Cricetulus griseus: one gene and its partner. The protein of the gene in region 1 purifies or fractionates together with the protein of each later gene. This does not show direct contact. Links are inferred from orthologs where the notes say so. Each region holds a gene or a part of one and is shown on either strand. Other genes may lie near its edges.

Region 1 (15,864 bases):
CCAACTGAAGTGAGGCCCAGAGAGGAAGCCCCAAGTTCCCTCCTGGCCATCACTGCCCGCTCCATTCCCAGACAGACTGTACTTTGGACCACTGCCGTTCCCCAGTGGCCACTGGGGGGGAGGGAAAGGCAAGAGAGTTATGGGAGTCAAAGGTGACTAGAGGATACACGTGAGTGGATATGGGGATAGGTGCTCACAGCACAGGCAAGCACTCTGAGCAACTACAGCAGCGGAGCAGAGGACAAGGACAGCAGGAGTAACCCCACAGTGCCAAGTTTGTCATTCTGGCCAATATGCTAACAGGTCATGAAACAACATGTTAATTTCCCTGGCTGGCAAACAACAGAATAAGCCACAGTTGGGGCCAAGCCACCATTGGGCCAGCCCTTCAGTGCTGCACCAGGCTGTAGAGGCTGCATACTGGTGTTTCCCACAACTGCCCACATGGAATCTTCCCCACAGTGTCATTATCCTTAAACAAACCCACACCCTACACAAACAGAGGGCATAGCAAACCATTCATGGCTGGGCCCTTTTAAGGGACCACCCTGTTCTACATATGTGGCCATACAGTTGTAAACGTGCCTCACATGGAGACAGGGACACCCGCTTGCACTTGAATACACAATTGGGAGCACACACTGCTGACAGAGCTGAGGGACCATGAGGATGTACATAAGTTCACAAAGAGGTCTAGAGGTCACACCCATGTATGACAGCCAGGGCACATGCTTCCCAGACATCTTATATGCACACACACCTGAAACAGCTCAGATCATGTAAGTTGAAGTCAAGCCACTCCTGGGATTGAGGGCATGGCTGCCAGCAGGCTGCTGGATGAGAGGGCCCAAGGGAGCTGAAGCTCCTCGCTAGTGGTGTCTTCCCAGAGGGCCTGCACCCCACATGTGAGAGCTGGCTCACAGCTGCCTTCTCTAGGGAGCCAGGCTCATGTCAGGAGCTACTTATAAAGGCAGGCCTGGGCTGCAGCCAGCAAGAGTTCAAGGTCATCTGGGATATATAGTTTGTTTGAGGCTAGTCTGGGCTACATGAAACCCAGTCCCCACCCCACCCCCAAAAAAGGGGGAAGAAAGGAAGGAAAACATCTATAAAGGTAATGGTCTAGATGGCAAGCTGGGAAGAAACATAGGTGAATGGGGAGGAAACACTTGTGCAGCAGAGACCTGAGGCCATGCCCATGCCTTTTCCCTAAGGTCTTAACTGCCCCCTTCACTTCTAGGATCAGCAGAAGAAAGACTCCAGTGCAGTGCTGGCCAGTCCCCTGTTGGAGATCACCTAAACTACTAGGACCCTTGTCCTTCTCCTGGGCCACCACAGACCTCCTAGTCCAGTTCATGAGTCTTCACTCCCAGGTGGCCTGTCTCTGTCAAGTTGTTTTTTCCTGTAATCACAGAAACAGCAACTCAGGAATGAGACATTTTATAGAGCTGTCTAGAACTTGTATGCCACAGCCAGATCTGCAAGTCTCCTGGACCAATGAACATAGGAGACCTTTCTAGGACCCAACCAATAGTAGATCACCTGAACCATACCCACTTGAGTTCACAGATCACTGGCCCAGGGACAGAACCTGTGGGGCAGCTATGGTTCATGGTCCCCCTCATCCTCCTGAACAGGCTCCCAAGAGACTGGAAGGATTTCTGGAACTACTGGTACCTGATTTCCTGAACTTCTGGTCTCTGACTTCCAGAACCAGTGGCACCTGATTTCCAGAACTAGTGGTACCTGACTTCTGGAACTAGGGGTACCTGACTTCCAGAACCAGTGGTGGTACCTGACTTCCGGAACTAGTAGTCCCTGACTTCTGGAACTAGTGGTACCTAATCCTCTCCTTTTGAGTCTGGAGGTGGTCTTTCCCAGAATCTCTGATCACAATCATTGCTAGAGGTCAGCTTCCTTCCCGTTCACTGACTTAACCCCTATTTATACTTATGGATTAGGTGTGCCCAAAGAGTCTAGTTGACATACCCAGGGTCACACAGCTGATGTTTGTGGACATGGAATGTGAGTACAGCTTGGTCTCTATGTCGGCCTCACATTGTGTCACCCCTGTACCTCTATGTTTCACTACTTTCTGATGTTGTCTGCTTCCTGCAGGATATCTGGGAAACTCTATCGCTGAAACTTGTACAGGCACCTCCTCGATGGCATGAGCTAAAACCCTGTGTACTACCATCACCAGACCTGCTGAATCTATGTAACACATCTTGTAGGCACTGGCTACTGAACAACAACCACAAGAAGGGCATGCTTTATAGACTCCTAGTAATCCTATAAAGATCCCTCCTTGGGGAGAGCTAGCAAGGGTCCTAGCAGGCCCTCAACCTTTGCTGCATGATACTCATAGAACCTACATAGAAGAGGAAAAGGCTGAGAGCTTCAAGCCCTGGCCCCTGCTCTGGCTTTCATGTCTCCATAGTCAGAATAGTCCTGAAGAATGATGCCTCCCATGGAGAGTTCTACAAAGCTTGCATGTGACCGGCTAGGAGACCTCCTTACCCTGAGGCCCCTCTGGCCTGACTCTGCAGGATGCAGTCCAGTCTGGGAGGTGGGAACTTTCCAGAGTCTCCAGGTGAGGAATGAAGTGCTGTCAGACTGGGTTTTTTAGGGGAATTGAATACAGGGTGGGGTTCCAGCCTGCTCACTTGAAGTTCTGTGTTTATCCACTCGGGGTAAACAGAGCCCAGCAGCCGCTTGTTTTCAGAGACCCCCAGGCACTAAACAGAGGAGCTGTGTTTGCAGAAACGGCTTTTCCTGCACTCAAACCGTAATACAAACAAATGCATTCTGTCCCAGAGGTAAAGGAAAAGTCTGAGGAGCTCCCCAAACGCTTCACAGTCACACTTGAACACTACACTGGGGGGAGGGCAGGGTTCTGGGACCTCACACCAGAGGAAGGGGACACAGTCCCTTTGCTTTCCAGCTGTGGGAACCCATGGTCTGTGAAGACAGGCAACCCCACAAAATACTGGATACCTACATTCTGGACTTAAGTGTGTCCCCCACACAGCTCAACAACCCCCCCCCCCGCAACACACAGAGAGACTATGCTCTGATTCAGAATTATAGCCTTCCTTCTGGGTCCCCTGGATGGATTCTAATCCAGTGACATGTGTCCATGTGAAACATAAAGGAACAACACAGGATGCTCAGGCCACAGAAACCAGACTTAATAATGAAAGCCCCCTCCCCCAGAGCCTTCCAAGTGAGCATAGCTCTGCCCATGCCTCAGTCTCAAGACTCTGGTCTTCAAAGCTGTGGGTTCTCTACAGAACAGAACATACCGAATCCACCTGCTGGCAATGAACAGGCTGTCCTGCCTTAATTCATCTGGTTTACTTGCTCAGGGAACAAACACTAGCCAGCCAAGGACCCTCAGCTTCAACACAGCCTCTGAAGGCTAACAAAGTGAGAGGTGTTCCCACCCATACAGGCATGCCTCTGTGCCCAGTCCTATCTCACTGTACCTTAGGGGAAGCTAGTTCAGTTCCCGGGATCCAGCCGGATTGGGGACAGGGCTTGAGGCCTGACTTGGGGCAGATACAGCAGATAGTAGAGGGGTCTGGCCTTCAGAAAACTCTTTCACCTGTGGGTGCTCACACGCCCCCCCCTTATACAGATGAGACCAGGAGCAGGGTAGGGTGGGGCCATACTCCCCTTGAGGAATGAGAGGAGACAAAGGAGATGACTGTTCATTGGCACAAGGCTACAGAACTCTGAGCCCGGCTGCCCCTGTCCTGCAGCACTCAAGTTCTGATTACCCTAGAGGTGCCAGGAACACAGCCTTGGGCTGCTCCCACCAGACAGCTGCAGAGACAGCCGCTGAATGAATGGGGGCTGTTGGCCCCCTAAGCTGGGTGCTGGGGGGCCCGGCAGCCAAGGGCACAGGGCCTCATGGAAACAATGGCCAGTCCAGGGTGCGCTGTGGCCGAGGCCCGGGCTGCAGCTGACAGAGTAGGCCGGAGCACCGGTGCCAAGCTGGGCACAAAGGGGCCGTGTTCCCGGCCGGCGGGCGGATGTTTGCACAGGTGTGGGAGTGGGGGCGCCTCTCTGCCGAGGACTGGGGGGCCAGGGGCCAGGGGGCTGGGAAGCAGCTCCTACAGGAGGCTGGGAATGCAGGCAGGGCAGCACCAAGCCTGGGCACTGCTAAGGTTGGACACCACTTAACAGCCACACTGTGGGCAGTCACCCACTCACTTCCTGCTGTGTCTCAGCCAGCATTGCCCACCTCCCATCAGAGAGTTCTGACTTGGAGTAGCTTGCTCCCCTCCCCATGCAGGCCCAGCTACATCCCTGGGACGTGTCCCCCTACCACAGACAAGCTTCCTAACTGAGCCACTGAGTTCTCCTACCATTCCTGCTTATTCCTGTCATACCAGGGTATCTGGAGACTTTGACCCCCAGAATGGTTAGACAGAGATGAATCTTGGGTCCTATCCCAACCTGGGAGCTTGTCAGTATGTTCTTATCTTCCCTAAGTTGTTTAGAATGCTGGAAACTTCTGGAAAACAGACTGACTCAGCCTGTTAAGAGATCCTGCTGTGTGCCCTGCTTCCTGGGGGCACTACGGAATTGTGGGGACATGTGTTTGCCCTAGCTTCCAGTCCCCACTTTATCTAGAAGCTCTGAGAGTCAGCAGGCCTCAGAGACTGGTCATTCCTGGTTGGGGTGTTTGGGGCACTTAAACCATGGCCCAATGCAGCCACCACCACCATGTATGACTGCTTGCCCTGCACCACGTTCCCAGAGCCTGTGCTGTCCCTTTCTAGCCGTCACAATCTAACCAACCTTTTCACAAGCCTAGTGAGCTCCAAGGCCAACAGACTGAGAGTGCTGGTAGGATGGAGTTGGCTCTGGTATCCTCATGCCCACCCAGGGGCGCCAGCCCTGGCAGCTCCTCCAGGCATGATAGTTCCTCTTTGTATAACATCTAGACAGCCTATTGCCCTTACAGCTGAGGGGGTGAGATAGAATTAGAGTCAGGGGGAGTCCACAACTGCTCTGAACTGTGTGCTCCTGTCAGGTATTCATGTTCCCTATAGCTTAGGACTCCTCAACATTCAATGTGCAGACAAAGCCAGCTCTCAGAGGACCTGAAGGCCATGTGGAAGCCATCAAAATCTGGAGGACACTGACAGTCAGAAAACACCTTAAATTGCCTTAGCCAGAGGGTTTTAGACCCTGAGCAATGGTTCCAAGGTCATGGACCAGTGCTCTAAGAGTGTACCTGGATTTCTTCAGCACTATCCTCACCAGAACCTCTCTCTCCTCTGCCTGCTGACTTCTGGAGAGTGTCATATCCGACCCCCAACACACACACACACACACACAGAGAGAGAGAGAGAGAGGGGGGGGGAGGGAGGGAGGGAGAGAGGGAGGGAGGGAGAGAGGGAGAGAGAGAGAGAGAGAGAGAGAGAGAGAGAGAGAGAGAGAGAGAGAGAAGCCTGCACACAATATCACTACACCTTAGGACAGTCAGTCCTAGCATGAGAGGTCATCTGTCACACACCAGGCTCTACACAGACTGGTAACTCAGTAGTTTTGGAGTCGCCCTATCCCAGGAGGCCTATGACCATCTTCATAACCTTAGGGCCTGGCTGTCACTCACACCATTGCTGCCTGAAGCAGTGAAGGACTGTGCAGACCTCACATCCACAGAAACCCCTGCTTCTTTCTCGCAGCCCCCAAGGACCATGATGGTATTATGTCATCTCATGCCTTGATCCCTGGCACAGGTGTGTTCCCTGGGTCAGCACAGACACCAAAGACATGTAAAGTATGCATTTGACCCCTCCCTGAACTCTGAGCCCAGGATCCCTCCAGGGTAAAGATCACCACACAATTGAGGTACCAAGCGCCACTATGCACTCCCTTGTCCCATCAGCCTTCCCTTCCAAAACAGAAGGTAAAAGACAACAATGTTCAAATTGCAAGGCTGAGACCAGGGAACATTCACTGTAGTACACAGGGACCCATACTGTAGGCTTTAAGTGCAAATTGTGTGGGTGAAAAGTGCAAATTGTGTAGCAGCCTCAGTGGAGGAGGCAAAACAAAATGGAGCAAGTAGAGCCCAATACCCTAACCCTGCTGCCCAGATCCATATGTTTCCCACCTGAGACACCCCAGCTAAAGATTCCAACTTACCACCCCCCACCACAGAGCATCTGCGTAGCTGCCAAACTCGATGCGGCCGGATTCGTTCACTGCATCTTTCTCAGCCAGGTAGACAAAGTAGGAGGAGAAGATAAGACCCAGAAAACCAATGTACAGGGTGGTGATCAGCTCCTGGGGACAGATAACACATCAGCCATGCTCACATACCCTATGGTGAGAGAAGTGCCTTGGTAGAAAGCTCCAGCATTTGTTAGATTATACTATGTTGGCTACAGCATGCTATACATGCAGAAATCACCTTCCAGAGTAACCCAGTTTTCAAAAATCCTGAAAGTGACAGATAATACCACTTGGCAGTGAGGCAGTCTCAGGCCTCATGCTGAATTGAGGTCCATGAAGCCTCCTCTATTTTCATGACAGGACAAACTGAGAGTCAGGTGTCCCCAGAAACCTCTTTCAGAAAGAATTCCCTCTGGAAGGTTATCTGAGACCCTCACCACTGCAACCATCCTTGATTTCTGAACTTCCTAAATCTGTTCTTCATCTTACATTTTCTATAGGGCCCAGTGGTATTTTGTCCCCAGCCTGAGGGAGGTGGCATTAGCTCTGCATCATTGGCAGGCCAAGTATGCTATCATTGTGGATGTGGAGTAGGTTCAGGCTGGGAAGGCTCTGGGGTTCTGGACCCTGTCCTCAGACCCACATATCTTGTGCTGAATCCTGGGTCACTCAGCTGGGGTCCAGGTGCTAGGTACCATCAACCTTGTATCCCGGCCTTGTGAATCTCCAGCCCTCCTGTTGTAGGTTGGCCAGCTTCTGTCCTGCCCATACCAGGCTCACTCACCTGACGGTGAATGAAGACCACAGATCCCAGAAGCCTCCAGGTACCCCCCTGGCGATCAACATGCAACATCCGCAGGATCTGAAGGAAGCGGATGCCCCTAAGAAGCAGGGAGAGAAGGGTTGAGAGGACCATGGTGGTCACAAGCATTTGCTGCCTATGTTCCTGTTCCCACTAAGCCTCCACTGGGTAGAGGAGACACACATATGTCACTCTGTAATGGGGCCATCTTGCTTCTTACAGGTGCCTGTGAACCCTGACTCCTAGGAAGTGCTAGGGTCAGGCCTTGAACCCAGGATTGCCTACTGTCTCAGTACTATGAACTATGGCCACCCTGCCGTTTCCCCACCCACCATGAAAGAACCAGGTAGAGGGATGGAAAGGCTACTACTTAAGAGGAGGGAGCTTTGTAGTAGGTCCTGTTTCACAGTGAGAAATGGAAGAGCCAACATACCTGATAGCCGATGTGGCGAACACTTGCCCTTTGGAACCCACACAGAGAACAACCATAGAGGCTACAACCACGATGAGGTCTGTGGGAGGGGCAGCTGGTCATTACTTCTGGCATCCAGAAATCTGGCGGGGGGAGGTATCACCACCCACTCCAGGTGACGTGACACTCAACCAAGATGGGACCCAACTATTAAGGGCACAGGAGCAATCTAGATGGGGGACATTCATGCGTGTGTCTTTACCCAAGACAGAGTAGACAGAGCCTAAATTCTGTCAAACCATGCTGAGCAAAAAGAGTCACATTGAAGCTGTGGCTCCAGTGCTGGGGGAGCTGGGCATAACTCCTGCTGGCCTTAGGGCCTGTCTTGTACAAGAATAATGTGTGGAGGAGTGTCTCAGTCCATAGGGACTCTGGGGATGACTGTAATGAAGGATGTCCTTCTGAACCCAGGAGTGTGGGGTAGGATGGGTAGGAGGACTCACCAATGATGGAAATGGGCTTCCGAGCAAAGCGCAGCCGGCCCCAGATGCCCACGTACTTGCTGCGGCAGCCTGCAGACCAGAGGCGGACCACATACTCTGTCCCAAAGAACACCACCAGGACGATCTCCTGAGGAAGATGGCAGTAAACTTGTATCAGAGGCTACCACCACTTAGGCTGGACCACCTATAGCAGGTTACCATGCCAGGAACCTCTGCTGAAGGATACTCAATACTAGCAGGCTCAGGTATCCATCTGTAATAACAGGTGGTACCTATCAGTAGCACCTGCCTGGAAAGGCCAATACACTAAGTCAGGGACCCTGATGGTGGATACTGGTCAGTTACAACTCTCTAGGGAAGACTCCTCACCAGGGTTGGGGGATAATGACTGAGTGTGATAACACAATGCTGTCCAGGTTGTCCAGCTTCATGGAATCCACAGAGCCCAAGCCCTGCACATGAAAGTGAGGGTTCAAAGATATGTCTTTGGAGGATTGCCCCCCTTACACCTCATAGATCTGCTCACTCTAGAGACACCATATCCACCAACTGTGGCCTTTACTGAGGTCTGGGTGCAAGAACCCAACCCATCCAGAGATGATAGAAGGAATAAAACAAAGGGCATGGGCAGCATAGACCAGGGCTCTCCTTGTATCCACATATGACCTCAAGTCACAGGGCTCTGAAAGGGAGGGGTCTATAAGCTAGAGGAACCCAGGCTATACTCTTGGCTACGTGGTAGATGAACAGATTGACAGAAAGGTGAATGGATAAATGAGTAGATGGGTGAGTGGATAGACAAATAGATACACGAGTGGATTGATAGATGAGTGAATGGAAGAGTGGGTGTATGAGGAGATGGGCAGATGAATAAGTGGGTAGATGGATGGTTGGTTGACTAAGTGAAGAGAAAGGCAAATAGACAGCAGATAAATACAGGTGAATGGTGTGAGAACCAAATTCAAAAACAAAGTGGAGCCATTAGCTCTCTCAGTAAAATCAACACCTAGACAGAGGTTCCCTGTCACTTGACTCAGCCTCTGACTACGATTTAGAATTCACCTAGCAGCAGTCTTGAGGCCTGCCCAGTCTCACAGTACTGGGTGAGAGCTACTGTGCTGCTTCCTGCTCACACAGCCTTGACACAAACTGAAGGAACACTCACTAAAGACCTGACAATCACCATGAGAGAGGTCAAGGTGAGGCTAGTAGGGCCTTGCTTTTGATCGGCACATAGTCTCCGTTTCTCTATCCTTCACTATCTGCCTCTTTGATGAAATACCCAAAGGCCTGTCATATGCACAATATCTGGAGGGTGAAGCAGTGGCTGGCTTGCACTGGGACAGTAATGGCAGGGAGCCTGACCTGGGGTGCCCATACTCTGCTGCCAGTCTGGGTTCTTTCCCAGCTCCTGCCACAGGGCTATTGTCACAGGGGCTGACTGTCCAGAGTGAGAATCCCCTTCCTGATTGCACCATTCCTGGGAAGCTCAGGTCTCACTCTTAGTCTCTCTATGGCCTGGAAATGTGAGTGGCCCATTGCAAGTGGGTGATTGGTGGATTTGATGTAAATGCATATTTCCTGGGAATTACATCCCATTCTGGCCCCCAAGGTCTTGAGCCCTATCCCAAACCTGTACCCCAGCTCCCAGCCAGCATTCATTGGTAAGAGGCCCTTGGGGAAGGCCTGGGGTGAGGAGGTGAAACCACTCCCACATATGTTAGGGGACTGTGCAAAGCCACAAACCCGCGAAGCCACAAAGCATTGTGCTGTTCAGGCCTGATTCCAGCTGGCTCCTTGCCTGCCTCCCTCAGGAGCCTGGCCCTGGAGGGGACTTCCTCTTTGACGGGTAACACTGGCTGGCCCTGCCCCCACCAGTGCCATGCCAGAGAGTCCGCCATGAGTGGGGGCTGAATACTGCCCACCATACACAAATGCTCTTAATTAAGACAAAATAGTATACCACCTGGCTCGTGTTTCAGGCAAGAGCAATGACTTGATGGTAGGCCTGGGAGAGATTCACACCTCCTTCCATGTGAGAAAAGCATTTGGCCCGTAGACTCATTGAGAATGGGGGAATATTTGGTGGCTAAGTGTGGGAGAGTAAGAGGGTGCTGGCAATGGTGGGCCCTGTTTGACTGAGCATACCAGGGAGGAACCATAGTCTCATTCACCCCAGTCAGTACTCACTATTAGCCTGTGGAATGAATGAATGAATGAATGAATGAATGAATGAGCAAATGAACAAACAAATCTGTGAACAGCTCGGTTGTAAGGATGTTGATTCATCTTTGTTTCTTGAGAACATGGGCCTGTAGGATTGATGCCCAAAGTACTGTATATATCTTTGGCCAACATGAAAAGCACACTCCCAGTCCCCACCACAGAATGTGACTTTATGGGAGAGAGCTTTTCTGACCATGAATGTCCCCATTAGGTAGTTACAGTGCTAGCTCAGGCAGCAGGCCTCTGTCCCAACTCCATGGGCCATCCATCACCCAGCTGGCTGGTCATCTAGTGCATTTTTCTCATTTAGATGTTTGTCATTACTCAAATACCTCCTTAGCAATGGCTTCTGTTGACTACAGGTGCCCCCTGACCTAATACTTGGAGGAAAACCCATTTGGGGATTGGCCCTGTGAAACGACAGGACCCCCTTACACAAATCTCCAAATCCTATTCAGCATGTGGACACAGTGTGAAGTCTGGCTTCAGAGAGCTTGGGCCCCATCATCCCCTGAAAATGTCTGGCTAGTTGTGTTCAGGGCAGGCAGGGCTGAGTTAATCAGTAGGGCTCAGTGGCTGGTAGGAAAGGGGCTGAGGAAAACAGCCCTGTCCCCGGGTGGGACACAGCCAGATCCATTGTTTGGACAGAGATAAAACAGTCTCCAACACCATCAGCTTTGCATGTATGCTGGAGCTAGGAGGGGTGGCCCTCGGATCAAAGGTCACACTGGGACTCCAGTAAGGGGTTGGCATTTGGCAGGAGTGTGTGTCTGTAGGAGACACACTGTAGGCAAGTTTGATTCAGGCAAAAGCACTCTAGTACACAACAGGGTTAGCAGAGGCTAGGTCAGCCTCTTTACAACAGACCAGTTGTTCTCCTAGCATGCTCACCTGTTCTGTACAAGTAATCCAAGTACAGTCCCAATGTTGAATGAGAGGCCTTAAACATCTCTACAGAACACTTAGATACCTGCTACTACCCTGTGCCCACTCCTACTCTCCACTTGATGTCAAAGGTTACCACCTACCCAAAAGCTCTCATGGCCCAGTGTACCCCAAGCTCCTTCCTAGACCCCAGGCACATCACATCTTCTGTTTTCCATGTCTTCAGAGGCTTGGTATGTCGGATATACTCTCCTAACCCCCGCTTCCTAACCTCTCCTGCTTAGGCCATCCCAGCACCCCTGAGTTTTGGAAGAGCTAACTAAACATCAGTATATGCTCCCCCACCAATAAGAGTACCCGCCGAAAGTACCCAGCATTGTCCAACCCCCTAAAAGGCCTCCCAGAGGAATCCACATGCTGTCAGAATCAAGGACTCAAGGCCAGGGGACATTGATGGAGTGTGGCCCTGAGCTCTGTCCCAAAGACATAAAAGAAAGGGCTGTCCTTGGGCCAACGATCTTGGGCTGAGACAAAAGGCAAGAGAACACAGTGGCCCCTCCCACCCTGACCACTGTTCCTTGGACTAGAGCTAGGCTTAATCCTGGCTGCAGATGACTTCATGGCGGAGACTCCTGTGTTAGGGACAAACAGCAAGCATAGTACATGCAGCTTTTCTTGGATTCACCAAGGCAGGACCACCATGCCTCTTCTCACAAGAGGAAAGAAAGTCCATGACCAAGGACCCGTGGTAGGAATAGACAACTTGGGCCCAAGGCAGAGGATCTCATGGGCAGGGTGAAACATCACTCTCAGGTTTGGGAGTAGACTGTGGCAAGTGAGGCTAGCTGCCCTTCAGATGGTTTACTACTGACACATGAGCATGACTGGAAACACATGAGGAAAGATGAGGTTTGTGGAGCAGCTGAGAGTAGGAATAATGTATACAAGTTAGGGTCTTGTGGGATTAGAGACAGAAACCAAGATATATCTGAAAAGTGGCCTAGGATGGAGGATAGAGACATAAGAGCCAGTTACCAACCAGTTACCTGCTCTGTGACAGGAAATGTCCAGAGTCAGAATAGAAGATGAGCCCAGACCATGCAGGGGCCCCAGGACCTCATCCTGGTGATCATCTGTGCACGGCAGACCTAATGGTTATACGGGTGGGTGGGCTGGCTGTGAAGACCCCTGGGGAGGCAAGGGAACCCCAACTCTGACATACTGGCACTTGTTTCCTCTAGGTCATTGAGGAGTTGGAGAAAGACAGCAGAGGCCATATTGCCTGCTACCCATCCTGAAGCTCTGTCAGAGAAATGAGAGGGGGTGGTCTAGTGACATGCAAACACCAGTGCCAACAAAAGAGGTTTGGACAGGCTCTGAAAGGAACAATCCCAACAGTGTGCCCCTTGCAGGATGCTGTAGCCCGTCCCTTTCCCAACATGTGTGTCCCCACACACATGGTGCGCCCTCTGCCATGACCAGGAAGCAGACCCTAGCCACAGTCTGCTTATTTCCCATGTAGTAAGTGTTGAAAGCTGTATGTCAAAGCAGTGATCTACATACTTTAAAATTATTTTTTAAAACAAAGCTGAGGCTCAGTTGATGGTGTGCTTGCCTAGCATGCATGAAGCCCTGGGCTCCGTTCCCAGCACTGAATAAAACAGATGTGGTACTATGTAACTGGACTTCCAGCACTAGGGACACAGAGACAGGGAGATCAGAAGTTCAGGGTCATCCCTGGTTATGCAGAAAATTTGAAGCTACCCTAGGTTAAATGAGACTGTGTCTAAAACAAACAAACAAACAAAAAGCTACCAAAAGACAATGAAAAACATGTTATTCATAGCCATAGACATTCTATGTCACTAACTGTGGGAATACAAATCAAAACAGATACTGCTGTGTCCCTGCAGCCTGCAGGATGGCTATTAGCAAAACACAGGCAGTGACAGCAGTGGAAGAGGAGGCGGGGCTATCGCACATGGCTACCCGAGGGAGACACAAGATCCAAGATGCTGGGAGCATGGTTCATTGGTTCCCCAGGTCATGAAGCATGGAGTTACCACCCACTCAATTCTGCTCTAAACAAGGCTCCTTCTTAAAAAGAAAAAAGGAAAAAAGTAATAGCCCAGAAAAAAAATACAATTGCTAGACTGGAAAGGTAGTGCTCTAACAACTATACATAGTTGTTACAGCACTTGCCTGGGTGCATGCGGCCCTGGGTTCAATCCCCAGAATCACACAGAAATGCATCAATAAAAATAGAAAGTCTCTAAAAAAAATTTAAGATCTGTCCTAGAGCTCAGCAATTCTGCTTCAGGGTGACACCCAAGTGTAGGGAGACACCCTAGTCCCGCCCAATAGTCCCGGGTTAGTTTTGGATATTTTACATTACTAAGTTTTAATCCTCTTTTAGACTAAAAGGGGAATTGTAGGGAGACACCCTAGCCCCGCCCAATAGTCCTGGGACAGGTACCAAGTGGACCCGGGACTCGCCCATAAGGGCGTGGTGAAGGAAAGCCGGGGTGACTTAAGGGAGCTTCTTAAGGGGCTGCACGTGGGGACCCGGGCCCCTTTTGTTCTGGCCACGCTGGCTGGGTTCTATAACCTAGCTCTGGCCTGTGTTTTGCCTTGGTGTCTTCTTGAATAAAGAGACTTTAATCGTAACACCCAAGAGATAGGCAGGACTTTGAGGAGCTCTCTGTCCACTGTGTTTACTCTGGCAAGGTACACAATGGCCAAAGGCCACATCCCTCAAGAAGACAAATAAAAAAGGCTCCAGACCCAAGAGGACACATCTTTTTCCTTCAGAAAGAAGTGTACTCTAACACAGAATAGCATAGACCCGCTGTTGAGGCACAAACCCTGAAAGATCCCACCCCTAGTACAACTGCAGGCCCTTGAGTTGCCAAAACCACTGGGATGAAAAGCAGGATAAGGTGGTAGGGACTGAGGAGTCAGGGTTTAGCAGGACCACAGTTCATCTGTGAAGACAGAAATTCTCAAGATGGGTAGGTATGGGTAGGGACGGCTGCACAACACTGAATGAGCTTCAGGCTACTGAGCTGAACACTTGAATATAGCCAAGATGAGAGATCTTATGTCTTGCATATTTCAGAAAGGTAGCGATAGCAAGATGGCTCAGCAAGTAAAGGCACTTGCTGCCATCAAGCCTGTTAACTCTAGTTTGATCCCCAGACCCACGTGATGGAAGAACAAAACTGATTTCCTATAAGTTGTCTAACCTTCACATGCATGTTCAGATGCACACACACACACACACACACACACACACACACACACACACACACACACACGTACATGCACAATAAGGAAATAAATGTAATAAAATCAAGAGACAGGAAGGGAAGAGGGCATGGAGTCACAAGGCTTACAGGATCTATTGCCTGCAAAGTACCAAATGGATCCTTATCATGGCTTCCATCATGAGGCTAAGGGAGACAGTGGTGGAGCAAAGGCAGGAAGCAATCAAGGACTTGGGTTCTCCCTAATCTCATTTCACTACTGCAATGATGGAACAGGTTGATGCATGGGCTTAGTGGCACCCTTGAGCTCTGGATGCTCTCAGGGACACCCAGGCACAGATACACTGCCTCTGAAAAGTTCACAGTGGGAACGAAGTTTTTTCATTTGACAGATGGACACTCTTCCCCAAAACTGGACCCACGTGAGCTGCAAGAGATAGGAGACAAAAGCTCAGCATGACAGAATTTCTGACAGGCCTGGGAACACATGTCACATACAAATGCTCCCTACACATGTGCATCAGGTGCTTGGGGGTAACCACAGCAAAGCAACGATCTATCCACATTTGAGCCTGCAGGGCTGACATTAAAGTAAAGGAGGTGCTTTATCTGGATAAAGCTGTAGTGAACAGGAGAAAGGCCTGCACAAGGCTCACAGCCTCTTGGGCAGATCACTGAAGGTTGCAGGTATCTTATCTATTGTTTCATTTTATCAGCTAGTGAACCCATTTCTGGGAGGGTGAGGATCCAGCTTACCACAATCACTCATCTATGGGCCACAGCAAAACCAAGGCAGGGCAGATGGGCTCAGCTCAGCTGCCTCAGATCCTCAAAAGAAAGACTTTTTCCTCTCTCTCTCTCTCTCTCTCTCTCTCTCTCTCTCTCTCTCTCTTTCTCTCTCTCTTTTCCCCAACAATCAAGGGAACTCAAAGATGCTTATCAGGAGTATTCAGTGTCTCTGATGTTACTGTTTTATTATCTTTTTAAGAAAAGAATAATTTGAAAGCTGACTGGAAGATTAACTACTGCAGATGAAGGGTTGGCTTGGATGGGTAGGGGCCCGGCAAGAAGGCCAGCAAAGCCAGGCCATGAGGCCAAAGGCCTAGCTGGTCTCCCTGAGGCCCTCCAGACCCTGGGCAGGGCAAAGAGTACTAGATACCTCTAGGACCCTCTTAGATCACCATTCAGCATAGAGGTGCTGTAGGAAACTATGGCTTGGGTCCTACCATCCTCTCATAGCTAGGAAACCTGTAAAATGGCCATTTCCTGAGCCAGAGGGCTTCCTGTGGGAGGACAGTGCCCTCTCAGCACAAAGCCAGCCAGAAGACTTTGGGGCCAGCTGTTCTGACTCTACATGGGCCCCAATAAGCCATAGAGAGGGCCAGCCTTACATTCTCGGGAGGGGCAGCTGGCCGGAGGCTTGGTGCCGGCATGCAAGCTGCTCAAAGCACCCTTTGTTCAGGTCCTGCCTGTGGCCAGCTGCTCCCAGCCGCCGGCCTGTGCTGAGAACCCATGGGCCCCCCAGTGACATGTGCTGGGCACAGCTGGAGCCCTCAGGCCATGCTCACTGCCCACCCT
Region 2 (15,730 bases), on another chromosome or scaffold:
TAAAAAGTAACATATAATCTCTATCTGGCTTCTTAAGCAAGTGTCTTTCTGCCTTTCCTTTCTTCTTTCCTTCTTGGTTTTTGTTGATGATGCTAATGATGTTTGATTAGTTGAGTTTTGTTTTGTTTTTGTTTTTGTTTTTTCGAGACAGGGTTTCTCTGTATAGCTTTGGAGCCTATCCTGGCCTCCTGAGTGCTGGGATTAAAGGCCTGCACCACCAACACCCGGCCTTGTTTTTGTTTTTTTGTTTTTTTTTTAAGTCCCTGTATTTTGCCTCTTGAAAGAAATCCCATGTGTCCTTCTTTATGCAACGTGATTTCTAGTAACAAACAGAATGCTGGAATTTGCACCTCTGGGCTTGATGGTTGATTGGAATTTGGATCTCTGTGGGCTTGACGGATGTTCTCTGGCATTTATTTTTCTTCTTTAACATAATTAATTTCTTGATAAATGAATAGCACATGAAATTGTTGCCCTTTGTTGTTGCTAATGTATGGAGAATAATTAAACTCATAAATAACCATAAAATAATTGCCTTAATGATAATGTCTTTACATGGGTAACATCTTGGAACAGTTAGAAAGATTCATTGGACACACTCCTGTACACAGAGCCCATTGCTGGGATATATTTTTGAATGAACTTTGCTTCTCTTCCTTTTATAGTAAGATGTTATTCAATAATATGTTAAATAACTTCATGTCTTTGATTGTTGTTTTTTCCTCTGTACTTACAGACATACCAAGTGGATCTAAAGCCCAATGGGTCTGAAATAATGGTAACGAATGAAAACAAAAGAGAATATATTGAGTATGTATGCACATATTTGTTACATTTTATTTGTGTGTGTGTGTGTGTGTGTGTGTGCGCGTGCGCACGTGCGCGCGCGTGTGGTATGTGTGTTCATTTGTCTGTGTGCAGGTGTGCATGCTTGGGGTGTAGGTCAGTGTCGTATCTTCCTCAATCACTGCTTATCCTTTTTGTTTTGTTTTGTTTTTTTAATAAACGGGGTCTCTCAATGAGCCTGGAGCTCATTGATTCCACCGGGCAGCCTGGCCAGTGTGTGCCATGGACATGCTGTCTCTACCTCCCTGCAGAAGGGGCACACCACCATGCCTGGCTTTGATTGTTTGTTTGTTTGTTTGTTTGTTTGTTTGTTTCATGAGTGTTGGGAACCAGAAGACAGGTCCAGTTGCTCAGCAAACACTTAAACAGCTGAACTATCTTCCCAGCCCCTGTAACTTTTACCTTTAAGAAATTAAATGACTTATTTGTTTGTTGTCCTTTCCCAGAATTGCTCGTGCATACTACAAATATGAACTTTTGTTTTGTTTTGCTTTTGTTTTTGAGACAGGACAATTTGTTGTGTATGTCTAACTATCCTGGGATTTGCTCTGTAGATGAGACTGGCATCAAACTCACAGACATCCACATACCTCTGTCTCCCCAAGTGCTGGGATTAAAGGCATGTGGCACCACAACTGGCTTCTCCATTTAAATAACAGCAATTTCTTTTTTGCTTGGCCTACTGGGCAATTGAATGTGAGAGAGAAATGTACCTTCTCTCATGGCTTTAGTGAACTACCCCTAGAAGAATGCAGCAAGAAGAAAGAGTATCCATTATAGTAAAGTGGCAAGTGCTCTCCGGGGATGGATGGCTTGTCTGAAATTCAGAATTGCAACCATGGGAATGTTAAGTGCTAATGGAATAGAATTAGGGATTGCCAAAAAGAAAATATCCTATCTCCTGACTTGTCCATACTGGAAGCTGAGGGAAATAGTACAAACGTGGTGAGTTCTGATAGTTGCTGTCTGTCAACCCAATCTCAGACTTATTTAGTAGAACAAATTGTTGAGTCCTGGAAGGCTAGCTCCTGAGGGACCCTAGACATCCAGAAGGCAGAAGGAACTCTCGGTTGAATCCATTACACACAATTCTGGCCTCTTCTGTGATGCACTCTATACTAAGCCTGGGCTCCAGTGAGGGAAATGTAGGCGTGTTTGCTTCACAGGTCCTGGTTTCTGTATGTTTGTGGGTTCAGCCCACACTGAGCTCATTTACAGTCTGCACTCCCTTTTAACAAGATAAATGCCCTCCTCTAACCTCATTTGAAATAGGTCAGTGGCTTGAATTCAGAGGACAGGCTAGGGTCTTCTATTTAGTGTAATGTGAAGAAAAGCCAACTGTCTGTCTAATCAGGAAGAAAAGGAAAGTCTTGTGGGCTTTACCTGGAAGACACTGAAGCCTCAACCCCTGTGGGAGATTTTTAGTTGGTTTGGTTTGGCTTTGGTCACTTTCAGATGAAAGTTCATGGCACTTAATAAATAAGCTAGAAGTAAGGTACTGTGATACGTGTCTGTCATGCTAATTGCACCCTTGTTCTGACCATTGTCAGTTTTATCGGAAGGCACCACTGGCCTTCTTTGTAAAGTACTGGTGTTAAGTGGTTCTTTAAAAAAATTATCCATCCCAGGATAGCTGAGGCCTGAGGATGTGGACATATGTCACATGGGCCAAGGTCAGGCAGGGTCTCAGCTATATAGGACTAAAATCTCCCCACTGTTCACTGACCCCCGTGGTGCCCTGGTACTTGAAGAATACTCCTGGGCAGTGAATTGCGGCCTAGCCCTGTGGTGCCAATACAGCCAAGTGCTGTGTGCTGCAGGCTGCTCCACTCAAGCTATTGTCATGTTGCCACCTTGAAGATGAGGCCAGAATCCGGATTGCTCACACTGAACACTGTCTTGGGGACAGTTTCAGTGACTTTCAAATTCTGTCAGTCATCTCTAAACTTTAGTATTAAAAGGACTAGTGTGAGCCAGATATGGAAGCACACACCTTTAACCTCAGCACTGGGGAGGCAGACCCTATCTCAAACAAATTATTTTTAAATATTAGTGTGTATAATATATGGTATGATGAACTACTCTTAACAAACACACGTTCATACTTACACATACATGTGAATATGTGGATATGTATAATCACATCCTATGACTTTTTTATTAACAGATCTTTAACTTTTTATTTTTATGTGTGTGGGTGTTGTGAATGTGTCTGTGTATCATAATGTGTGGCTGGGTTCCTTGGAGACAAGAAAAGGATGTCAGATCCCCTGGGACTAGACTTACAGACAGTTACCCATGTGTAAACTGCCATGTGGGTGCTGGAAGTCAAACCCGGGTCCTCTGGAAGAGCAGCCAGTGCTCTTAACTGCTGAGCCATCCATCTTTAGCCCACCGTTTCTTCCTTCTTTATCAAACCATGTTTGTGGAGTACTTGCATCCACTGAGGCTGGATGAGGGCCAGCAGACCAGGTACTCAGAGAGAGTGTAGATTTCTCACAAATGTAAAGGAATAGAGGGTCTCTCAGCAGATGTGCTATAGCAAGCCCCACCCCACCTTGCCTTCTATTGTTCAGGATTCTCTGCTTACTCCACCTAAGGAGCAGCAGGCCCAAGGATAAAGAAAGCGTGGCTGGAAGGTGACAGAGGTGACTAAGCATTCCTTTTTCTTTCTCACAGCTTAGTCATCCAGTGGAGATTCGTGAACAGGGTCCAGAAGCAAATGAACGCCTTCTTGGAGGTAAACACTGCTGATGGGGTGAAGGCAGGGACAGCGTGCAGAAGGCCAGCACAGGCAGCTGACCCTCTTGGCCATTGCCTGAGGTGGAAATGTTCCATGATGCTCTACCATCATTTTATAAGTGTTCTCTTGCTTTGCCTTTCTCCATTTTTAGTTTGTTTTGACTGCATTGTCCCTTGCTTGCTTGAGACCAAGTCTATATGGCATACACTGGCCTGGAGCTGATGGTAGTCCTGCCTCAGCTTCCTGGGTGCTAGGATTATACTGCCTGGCTTCCACTTATGTTTCTTTTGAATTTATTCATGTATGTGTGCACACAGGTGAGGATTAGAGGATAACTCTAAAGAGGTGGTTGTCTCTGTGGGACGGATGTGGGTCCCAGGTCCTCAGGCTTGATAACGGCACATTTACTGGCTGAACCAGCTCACTAGCACTTCCACCGTATTTAAACCAAACATTTTTCATACCTGGTCTAGAGCCGTAAACCTGGAACTTCTAGCAGTGCCCAGAGGAGGTGCCTGCTGCTGTGCTTCCAAAATTAGTGCCCTCTCATTCAGACCTTACCCAAGCCAGGCTCATAGACTTTCCCCACAGAGTCCTCACTTCTGTGACACTGAACTTCCCACAGAGTCTCCCCTTTTCATGCTCTGGGTTTTTAATGTTATATCCAAATACCAGCTTTGTCCCTGTGATGGAATCAAGTAAAGATGCTTGTAGCCGCTAAGTCTGATTACCCGAGTTCAAACCCCAAGTGCCACTGGTAGAAGGAGAGAACCAGGTCTTACAGGTTGTCCTCCAACTTCCATGTATGCATGAACACACATAAGAAATAAATTTTGAAGGGAGAAGCCCAAACCCCATGGTATTCATTTCTAGGGCCCTCTTTCATGGAATAGTTCTCAAGCTCAGTGACCTGCACATCATGAAGATGGCCCTCCCCTGAGCAGGAAGTGCAACTATGCCAGGGCTGGGGGACATAAGGTGCAAAGGTGAACTTGGTTATGGCACCTTTTGCATTGTATTTAAGGGAGAAATCCCAGGAAGCAAATTCCCAGCCCCACCCAGCTTTCAGATTCCCAGCCCTGCCCAGCTTTCAGGAGCCACAGCATCTAAAATTTCTTCCTGGGTCACCCCGTAATTAATGACAGCCCAGGACAGAGCCTGGCTTGCTGTTCTGTCAGTTCTCTGTGCTGGCTGATGCTGCTTCCGTCTCTCCTCCACCCATGCCGTCAGCTATTTTTAAATGTGTCTCTTATACGTTTGCAGTCTATACATTTTAGGACACACTGACTCACGAAAGTGTGTCATAAGTTGCCTTTGCAATCCACCTGCCTACAGTGTCCCTAGTATCACAGAGTTGCAAAAAATGTGCAAGTCCTGGAAGCTTCTAGACTGTACTCATTTTCAAGCCCCTATTCATGACTTGGGATTTTGTTGGGATTGTGGTCACCTGACACGGTCCCTGCTACGTGAGCCAGCGGAAGAGCGAGCCTTCTCTGGCTGACCTCTACCTATGAAATTGTTCTTTTTCAAAGAAAAAAAAAAGGTGCTTAAGATGTTTTTATCTTTTCCTTTCAGGGATTTACAGAACTTCTTCCAATCGATTTGATTAAAATTTTTGATGAAAACGAACTGGAGGTTTGTTTGATCAGCATCATATTTTATACATAAAGTAGATGATTTTAAGTATCTCTTTACTTTGCAAATGACATTTTTTGTATGCTCTAGCACATGACATATTGAATGCTCTATTCCAAGGCCTGTCTTCGGGCTAGCCTGGGGAGGCTAGCAATAGTAGCCAAGTGAATTTGTTGCCTGTGACAGGGCAGTTGTAAGCACTTCTAATGAGCTGCTCAGGCCAAGCAGACTGCGTAACCAGGCTGAGCCAGAGCCCTTTGTTGCAGCCCAGTCTCCACCTTGGCAGGTCGTTGTAGGACTTGGCCACACTATAGCTGTACTCCTTTTCCAGAGTCTGTAAAGGAGACGGGACCTTGAACTTGAAGTGGCATGTATTGAATAAGGATTGTAGGAGGCCACTGGGTAGTAGCAGGAAGTGTTTGATGAACGTCCATCTCAGCTTCTCAGCTTCGATGGAGATGAGGGAGAGAGCAACTTGAAAACCAAAAACACATCTCACCTTGGGTTGTGTCAAGGCACAGAAGGAAGGAGGCTGCATCTGTCCACAGCTGGTCTCTCCAAACCCATGTCCAACAAAGCATGTCTCAGAGAATTTAAAGTGGAAGTTTCAAGATGAGTGTCATGAAAATTTTGTAGCGCAGGCACTACAAGTTTATAGAGGCTGTGAGAAGTGAATGACCTCGCAAGATGACTCAGCCAGGCTGGTCCCAGAGGCCTAGGAATCAGTTTTCAGGCTTTGGGAATGGTTTTCTTCCTATCATATTCATTGGAAACTCTTATGATAAGAACAAACTCTAGGCAAGTACTGATTCAGGGGACTAGTTCCTGCCTGGGCACCCACAGGATGCTGGAAGGATGAGGTTGTCACCTGAATTAACCCATCTGGGGGGATAAGTTCTTGCTGTCATGGGGACAAGTAATAGAAAGAATCCTATGTATCTGCTAATGCAGTACAGGGGACTCTACAGCAGTGTGCCTGAGCACATGGGCTGGAAAGATAACCAATGTAGTCCAGCTCTTGCATGCAGGTCAATTGAGAAAACCTCTCTCTCTTTCCCTTCCTCCCTCCCTCCCTCCTTCAATCCATCCCTCTACCCTTCCCTCACCCCCCTTGAACTGCTGGCTTACCTGCTTGTCCAGTTATACACACCAGCACAGAGAAGAGAGAGTTCTCACCTTGCATAGCCCACCTCATTTACATCTGCTCAATTTCCTTACTAGTTGCTGATGTGTGGCCTTGGAGATGTCGACGTTAATGACTGGAGACAGCATTCTATTTACAAGAATGGCTACTGCCCCAATCATCCTGTCATCCAGTGGTTCTGGAAGGTAACTGCAGCACTCTAGGCCCAACCTCTGCTTCAGGCTCTTCCTCCAAATCAGGCCTCTTGGGGGAAATCAGAACGGAAGCTTCTTTGGGAATAGTAATGCCTTCAAGCTGCCTCATCCATGTGTAGAAGTCATTTTCTGGACTTTTCTTTCTTTTTTTTTTTTCTTTTTCAGAGACAGGGTTTCTCTGTGTAGCCTTGGCTGTCCTGGAAATTGCTCTGTAGACCAGGCTGGCCTCAAACTCAGAGATCCATCTGTCTCTGCCTCCCTAGTGCTGGGAGTAAAGGTGTGTACCACCACCACCCAACGTCAACACTTTTTTATTCCAATAACCATTTTGATTTTTATATATTGCAACCTGAGATGCAAATTAAATCTCATTTGCTGTCTTAAGGGCCAATGTTTGTATTCTGTTGGGCTTGGAGAAGGATTGGCAAAGACAGTAAACTAAACATTTTTAAAAAATAAGAGATTATTTACATACAAGAAAAGGGGGAATCAGCCTTGCATGATAGCATACACCTAAACTCCAGGTATCACTCATACGCCCAAGCCAATACAATGTGAATTTGAGGCTGGCCTGAGATGCACAGAAAGTTCTAGGACAGCCTAAACTGCTTATCAAGCAATTTTTTATTTAAGACAGGGTCTCACTGTGTTGTCCTGCCTGGCCTCAAAACAGATTCACCTGCTTCTGCCTCCAAAGTGCTAGAAATAAAGGTGTACACCACTAAAACTGATAGGTGCTGATTTTACAAAAAAAAAAAAATGAGAAGAAATCAACTATCATGTTTTAACTTCTGAAGGTCTGTTATTAATATTTCAAGTATCAGTAAAAATACAGAGAGAAGGAACCAGACTTTTCAAAGACTGTAACTTGGCTTTGATTTTGGATTGTATTATAGAAGATCAAATCATATGTCCAGGAAGGCTGGCTCCATTCCTGCAGTGGTTAGGATCTGGGAGGCACACAGATTGGTCCCAAGGCCCATTTTTACCTGGGGTTTCCTTCTGCTTATCAAGTATCGTTGGGGATCTTTCTGTGTCCATATCACCTGGCTTCCTCTTGTTTTAGATACTTCTGGAAAACCACCTGGTTAGAACTAGCTTCAGGGAGACCCCAGGCCTCAAACCCAGAAACCTGAGCTTGAGGCCCTCCAAAGAGTTTTCTTTGTATATTGTTAATTTTGGCCTGTTGGCAAAAGAAAAAATGGGACCCAGTGATACTCTAATATTAGAGAGGCTGGGCTGTAGCAACCATCAAAAAGGGGGAGGCGGTGCCATTTTTCAGAGTCGATAGTGTAGGTGATTCTATGGCAATGTAAATGGGAATTTGGTTGCCTGCCTAGGTCATGGCAGGGTGTACTGCATGGTGAAATCATGACAGTGTGTGCTGTGTGCTGCCTGGTGATGTCATGACCTTCTGCCTCTGGCAGGCTGTGCTCCTGATGGATGCTGAGAAGCGGATCCGGTTACTACAGTTTGTCACAGGCACCTCCCGAGTACCCATGAATGGATTTGCCGAACTTTATGGTGAGTGTGGCATGTCCCAGGCCCCTCTGTCCTGCTGTGACCTTGGTCACTTTCCAGATCAGTTTAACTACATTAGTTCCATAGAGACCCATGGAGATGAAGAGGCAGGGGTTCAGGTAGTGTTTACACAGACAGCTTGAAGGTTTCTCCTCTTTTATCGTTTTTCTTTCTTTTTCCCCCGCCCCCTTCCCCTGCCCTCGCATAGTTCAAGTTTTGTGTTCAGCTTTTAAACCCAGATTTTTCAGGATCCTTTCTGCTCTGCACTTCAAGGCTCACATTGCATTACTTTCCCCTAAAGCAGAGAGGCTGCAGCAGCTGCATCTGTATCATCACTGCCACGCCTGGTACAGTTCTGTACTGGGGGGAGATAGCAGTGCAGACCTGGGGATTTCCCACAGGACTCACTGGGCAGGCCCCACCCTGATGCTCCTCCCCTCCCCTTTCCACTAAGTCCCCCCAGAACTTTGTTCTCCTGCTTCAAGCCCTGTTTATCTCTGTCTTTTTCTCTCCTCCCACCCCCCTCAGGTTCCAATGGTCCTCAGCTGTTTACAATAGAGCAATGGGGTAGTCCTGAAAAGCTGCCCAGAGCTCACACATGGTAAGTAATGAAATCCCCATGGGGCCTGGAAAAATGGCTCAGTGGTGAAGGACACGCACTTGTTGCTCTTTGAAGAGGACTTGAGTTCAATTCCCAGTCCCTCCATGGCTCATAACCATCTGTAACTCCAGTTCCAGGAGATTTGATTTTCAGTATACACATGGCACACATACATGTAGGCGAAACACTCAGACACATATAAATAAATGAATCCAAGCCTTATAAGCTCAGTTGGATCACTGGGACCCACATGGTGGAGATAACCAACTCCAGCAGATTATCTTCTGACTTCCACATGCGTGCTATGGAATACACACATGCACACAACGATGTTTAAAAGATAAAATTAAGGACAGAATTCCCCCATAGCAACATCAATTTAAAAGCCCTTCTATTCACACAGTCTGCAAGTGACCCATGGGCTGTGACACCATCAGAAGGTCTTCTCTGGCTGGAGAGGGAGGAAGAAGCCTCATTAATTAGCTTAGAAGAGTCACAGGACACCCAGCACAGAGACAGACATGGCTCAGTGGATTTTAAAGCAACATTCAGCAAGCTCTTTTTTTGTCCAAACTCAGTTGGGGGTCCCAGGTTTCTGCACAGATTTTTCCTTCCCTCTTGCTTTGGAGGAAGTGGGGGAGTGCACCCCCGCCTCTCTCAGCACAGTGAGGGTCTACAGCCCACTGAGCTGACATGAGCATCCTCTCTCACCCACAATGCCTGTAAGAGCCTTTGTAAAACCTGGTAGTGGAGGAGCTGGCTGCTGTGGGTGCCCTTCCCTCACCTGAAGAACCATTTGTGATTCCGTGGAACAGCATGGTCTGTCCTGTGTGGTCCTTTTGCCATGCACACTGATTTCCAGACTGAAATTGGAGCAGGCACTGTGCACAGTTCTCTGTCTTTATCCTGGGGGAGGATGTCTGCAGAATTCAAACAGCTTCCTTTCAGGGCTAAAAACCCTTTTTAAATGCTCTTGAACTGGGTAAGACAGAACATTGAGTGAGTTGCCGTAGTCACCATCTTTCGAGCACATGCTCCCAGCCTCTTCTGCATATATTCTGATTTGACCCTCCCTTAGTCCTGTGAACAGCCTTTTTACATTTGAGCAGACAGATTGAGAGAAATGAGATGACCTGGCCAACGTCACAAAGATGGCAGGGACAGGGTTTGAACTTGACCCGTAAACAAGTGGGCTTGATTTCTTGCAGAGGCTATCCATCTATAACACTCTCAAAGGGTGAGCTATACCTGCCCCACCCTAGTGGAAGCCTTCTGAGCTGGCTCTCCCTGAACCTAGATTGTGGCCAACTGGATAGCAGAGGTGGCTTAGCTTTCTGTAACTCAGGTAGCCTGGGCTCTGCTCTAGGATCTGCACCATTCCTAGGAGTGGGACCCATGGTTCCCTGGCTTCACCTCCTTGCATAGGGATACGCATGTGCAGGACACCTATCCTTAACCTGCTTCACACCTACAGAAGAGCCCTTGGCTCAGGCATGCATGATGGACCAGTGATAGTGTGAGAAACAGTCTGTCCTTTCTTCATTCCTGAAGTGTACATGCCTCATGCTCCGTGGGTTTTCTTTTCTTTTTTAAAAAAGGTGGTTTTTTCCTTTTTTAAAAAGGTGGGGTTTTTTAATTATTATAATGTGTGTAGTCTCTCTCTCTCTCTCTCTCTCTCTCTCTCTCTCTCTCTCTCTCTGTGTGTGTGTGTGTGTGTGTGTGTGTGTGTGTGTGTGTGTGTGTGTGTAGCATTTGGTGCACATGCTACTACTAGTGTGGTCAGAAGACAACTCTGATTCTCTCCTTCTGTCTTTACGTGGCTTCTGGGCATTGAACTCAGAAGCCTGCAAGCACCTGCAAGGCTGAGGCATCTCACCAGCCCACATTTTTAGTCTCTCTGTGGTTGTTGGTGATTGTCTTGTCTTTGTGTCTCCATCCTGGCAGCAGAGTAGTCATGGACAGTTGAAAGGCTGTTTTGTTTTCCCCATTGACTGTATAACCTGTTTGGCATAGACACTTTCCTAACTAGAATTTTGCTTTGAGTAATAAAAGTATGGGTTGTTTTTTTTCTTTAATTATTCCCTTGCTCAAACAGCCAATGCCCATTAGCCAAATCAAGAAAGTGCTGCTATGACAAGGAGGAAGGCAGCCACTCACCACCACTATCCATTCCTTTGGCAGCTTTAATCGCCTTGATTTACCTCCATACGAAACCTTTGAAGATTTGCGGGAGAAACTTCTCATGGCCGTGGAGAATGCTCAAGGCTTTGAAGGGGTGGATTAAGGCCCGCTGCATCGGGGGCACTGCCCTTCCAGCAAGTTCTGCGTGCACTTTTGCATTTGCCTAGCAGACTTTTGCAGAGCCGGTGGCAGAAGCAGTTGCCTGGGCTGGCTCTGGAGGCCAGCTTGTCCAGGCCGCACCCAAGTTCCGCCAGGGAACGCAGCCCCAGCTCAAGTGCCGCCCCCTTTCACCACCAATTCTCAACTGGTTGGCGTGTACATTGATTACATTTCAGGAAGACTTGTTCTATTTATGTTGTGCCTCTCCAGGCAAAGCCCTTAATAAATATTTTGCATACTTTCTAATGACAATGAATGGAATTAATCACGATACAGGTATAGTATTACAAAACTCATGTTTACTTTTTAAAATGATTTAGACTGATTTTCAGATTTTATTTCATTACAATTAAAGATGTCTCATGTACTTGGAAAAGTGAGCATATTTTTTTTGTATTTGAATTTCATATCAAGCTTAATGTCGGTGACATTTTTATTTTTGAAGTACTTTGACACTCCCGCCCTCTACTTTATTAAAATTGGAAGACTAATTTTTCTCCAAAAGCCTTCTACAGACCAATACTTGGAAAGAATTTCAAATAGAACATTAAGTTTAACAATTTTTTCCATGCTCAGAATGAAAATAAACTGGATATTACCCTTTTTTGTACAAATTTAGATACTAGGTACAGGCTGGAAGAATTGTAACATAGCATGATATCTTTGTGTTAACTTGAAAGGAATGACACCATTGTTCCTTAGAAGTATTGACGTGTGTCATCACACATTCAAGACAGGGTTGGACTGTCATTTCACATCGGAAACCCTTAACCCTTCCTGTCGCCATGCAGCCTCTTCCTATGATATTTTCTCTTTGGTGTTTATAGAGACATTTCCAATGGCACTGCTTGATTCAAAACTGAGGAAGCCAGAGTCAGTGGTCTTCTGTCTCCGTTGGCTAAACAGTAGCTAATAAACCATTCTTGCTGTAACTGTGGCAATTCCAAAGGCACTTTATGCAGGTCATATCTTTTTTGGGTTTTTTTTTTCATTTTTTTCTCATAAACATTACATGTGATTGTTTCTTCCTCCCTGCACACATCTGTCTGGTGCAGTATCTATCCATTGTGAATTAGGCTGCTAGTAAATCCAGATGTTATGCTGAGCCTCCACACCAATCTTCTCCAACTGTTTTGTAATTTCTACTCGACAAATCATATTTACTTACTATACACTTAGCCGAGTCATGTGGCATAATGACCTATTTTGCATGCTTCGATACTGTGTACTGCCCCCCCCCCCAGGTCATGTCTATTGTGTGCTAGTTTAAAAGTGAGCTAGAAGACCCGGTGGGTTCCATTGAGCTCAAGCTGTCTGGTTGGCAATGGTGGAGGAATGTAAGTGTCTACAGTTTGTAAAGTCTCTGTTGCAGAATTCTGTTGTATTCTGAGAAGATGCCTGAGGCAGTGTGGGAGTTCAGCACCCCTGCTGTCCCTTTAACTTGCGATGTCCTAGACCCTGTCCTGGAAGTTACGGGACAATGGGGTATTTTGATCTCTTGCCAGTTGTGAATATGACAAAAAAGACTGTGATCTCTGCTATGTAAGAAGGACCTTTGATGTAAGAAATTACTCGTGTTTACACAGCTGTGGGTGCCATGAAGAAGCCATGGGCTTGATGGGTGAAGCCCCAGAGGGTAGAATCCTACCAAGCTGAGCTTTGGCTTCTTTTCCACATGCTATCGAGTAATTATAAAAACAATTAACAATCTCTATTCTTGCCTTCTGGTGAGATATTTTTTTCTCCTGTGGTTAACAGATGTTGGGGGCAGGGGTCTTTTTCTTTTTTTTAATAACCTTCTGTCTCCAGAACCATCTCTCTGTTGCAGAGTGTGCCAAAGCCTGAGCTGCAAGGTGTATTTTGATTGAAGAAGAAACCAAAATCTGTTCTAAGAACTGGGGTTCTGTAACTCTGTAGGCTCTAGATTGAACCACATTATTCACTAAATACAAAGTATTCATTTCTGCATTTTAAAGAAATGCAAAAAGGGCCAGCAAGATGGCTCAGTGAGTCAGGGTGCTTGTCACCAAGCCTGACAGCCTGAATTCAATCCCTGGGACCCACCTAATGGAAAGAGAGAACTGACTCCTGCAAGTTGTCCTATGATCTAACCCATAAATGATTTTTTTAAATTAAAAATATGAAAAGAAAGACTTAATTCTGATCATTTCTAAGCCAAGAGCAGAGAAGACCTATTGAAGTACACCCCTGGGAGTACTTGAAAGGCAGGCCATTGTGGATAACACTTCAGTCCATTGGTCCATAATTCAGATTTTAACAGTTGTTACTGGATTAGAGAGCTGGCCTGTTAAAAAGTAAAAACACAGTTCCCTGTCCCTCGGTTTGTGAAGTTTCACTTGTTGCCTAAAATGCCTGATGTCTTGTCTCCAGATTGTGATGCCCTCTCCTGGTCATCTTTGTATGATAATTGTAAATGACAATGGAGAGTGGGGCCTCAGCACTGCAGCCAGCTGCTGCAGACAATAGTTAGGGATCATTTACCTTGAGGCTGCAGAGTGGGTTCCAGGACTCTTACTTCGCTGTAGAAGAACTTTGAGCATCATTTTGTCTGTCTTGTGTTTCTCTCCCTGCCCCTTTTAGTCCATGGCAAGCCTGGATTAGACTACTGACTCCATAACAGGTAGTGGTAGGCATTGGTCTATCCAGGTGTCTTCAGTGTGTTTTCCTTGTCTGTCTGAAACACCAGTCTCTACTTTTCTGTGGCCGGTCAGCTAGTGGATCACAAGAACCAGAGATGTGTATTTATTTTTGTTTCCAGGGACGATATAGCTTAGTGGCAGAGTGTTTGCCTAGCATGTCCTTAGCAGTAGATTTAATCCCCGTTGCTGGGGGCAGGGAGGGGGGTGGATAAGATAAAGAATTCTGTTTCCAAGGACCTTAAGCAGGAGACAGCAGTGAATCCTGACATTCAGGTCAACAGGGATTTAAAGTAACTTGTCACACATCTTTTCCCCCATAAAGACTCAGTGGAAGATTTATGGAAGTGGGTTGCAAAATAATTTAACCACTTGTGCATCTCACATGACCTGTTGCTCATGGTCTCGCCAGATTCCAGTTTGTTCTGAGAGTCAGGCTCATGTGCAGCACCTTCCACCCAATGTGTTCTCTATTTTCCTGATATTCTTGCATCTCACCTCTGAAATTTGAAAGTCTACAAAGAAAAGCCTAGGTTGCTCAGCTACCCAGCCCCTCCCTACTGGGCTAGCTATTTTTCTGTCTGAGGCTCTGTATCTCAGTAACAGAAGGGAGATGCTATTGGTTGTCATTTGCTTCCTGGCCAGTAGGGGTGCTGCTGTGCAAGGTCACTGCCTGCCCTGCTCCCTGTCTGGCTCCCAGAAGACCACATGCTACCTCTGTCTCAAGCATTGGAGAATATCCTAAGTCAAGTCAAAACTGCCAATTTCAGGACTAGGATATGTTAAAAATAAAAAAACCTTATGAACTCCACTTTGTACCTTAGATTTTAAAACTGGGTAGAAATGTGATATACATTGGACCACTTTTTAAATTTATATAAGCCTTAATGAACAGTGTATACACATCTGTGTATGCACTCCATCCCAGTGTTTTCAGTGTGCCAGAGAAAGAGCCGTAGTGTTAGGACATGAGCCTGTCTAGGGTTTTCTAAGAAAGGGGTAACTTTCTGTCTGATATGAAATCTTCCTAGAAAACTTATCATTCAGCATCTACCCTCTATTGAAATGTTAACCCTCCCAAGCACGTGTTTGAAGCAACATGTCTCTTTACTGGTTTTGTATTTGTAAGGAGCAACTGTAGGAATCTAAGGGCGTCTGTTGGTGTGTGACCTCTTATGTCCTAAATTCCCTCCACTGTGTCTCAGTGTATTCAAAGACTTTGCTGTGACCATAGCCTGTGTTGAGAGATGTCTGTTCTTGTGTAAGCCAGTCTACACCTCATACTCAGACTGCTTTTTACCTACGTTGTCACAGTTTCCCTCATGTTGACTCTGTGACCGGTTCTTCCTTTTGCTACCCCACATGTAACATATATGCACATATATGTATGTATGCTGTCCAAATATATTTGTATATATTTGTATAGCATTTTTCACCTTAGAAGTAATCTGGATTCAAAAGGGAATGAGAGCTAAGTCCCGTCTACAGTTTTCTTCAAGTCATGCCCTGAAAATTCTGACCCTCGGCGCCCAGAGAACCCTAGAAAGGTATTAGCTTGCTATCATTTCTTAATTGGGAATCTGTTATCGAATGAAACTTTAAAAAAAAAAGTGACTTTGAAGGTGAAAAGAGTTTCAAGCATTCCAAGTGAATTCTCAATGTTTCTTAACTTTTTATTCTAACCCCACCCCCTAACAAAGCTGAGTGCTATTTGATACAATGGTCAAAACCAAACTACCTTGACATTTTTCTAAGACAGCGTAATGGCTGATGCTCGCTTTCCCAGTCCAGAGAGCTTTAACAGAGCTTGAATCTGGTACATGCGCCAAGTTTCACGGTCCAGTCCTCTTCTCTCTTCTCGAGAGATCTAAAGTGATACTGTAGCTTGTTTTCCTGACAGCAAATGAAAAAATGTGACAAAGTGAAGTTGATGTAAAGCGGTGATGCAACTTGTCAAATATTTAATAAAGAATTATGAAAGCTGGAGCATTTCCTACATACGCATTATGGGTTGTCTGATTTAAAGCTTCTTCAAGAATCTGTCATTTT

Evidence for each region.
Region 2: the proteins of Kcnq1 (region 1) and Nedd4l purify together in Homo sapiens (affinity purification with western blotting, with the first as the bait; 3 studies listed by BioGRID). This does not show direct contact. The link is inferred for Cricetulus griseus from reciprocal best matches to the Homo sapiens genes KCNQ1 and NEDD4L.

The regions. Positions count from the first base shown.
Region 1 is NC_048596.1:58,190,310-58,206,173, forward strand, and holds part of Kcnq1 (potassium voltage-gated channel subfamily KQT member 1), read right to left. Parts: intron 8,037-15,864; coding exon 7,910-8,036; intron 7,507-7,909; coding exon 7,428-7,506; intron 7,074-7,427; coding exon 6,977-7,073; intron 6,304-6,976; coding exon 6,163-6,303; intron 1-6,162. UniProt on the Homo sapiens protein: Pore-forming subunit of the voltage-gated potassium (Kv) channel involved in the regulation of cardiomyocyte excitability and important in normal development and functions of myocardium, inner ear, stomach and colon.
Region 2 is NC_048595.1:174,059,313-174,075,042, reverse strand, and holds the end of Nedd4l (E3 ubiquitin-protein ligase NEDD4-like), read left to right. Parts: intron 1-736; coding exon 737-810; intron 811-3,525; coding exon 3,526-3,586; intron 3,587-5,164; coding exon 5,165-5,224; intron 5,225-6,445; coding exon 6,446-6,553; intron 6,554-7,989; coding exon 7,990-8,086; intron 8,087-8,611; coding exon 8,612-8,684; intron 8,685-10,865; coding exon 10,866-10,968; 3' UTR 10,969-11,276; downstream 11,277-15,730. UniProt on the Homo sapiens protein: E3 ubiquitin-protein ligase that mediates the polyubiquitination of lysine and cysteine residues on target proteins and is thereby implicated in the regulation of various signaling pathways including autophagy, innate immunity or DNA repair.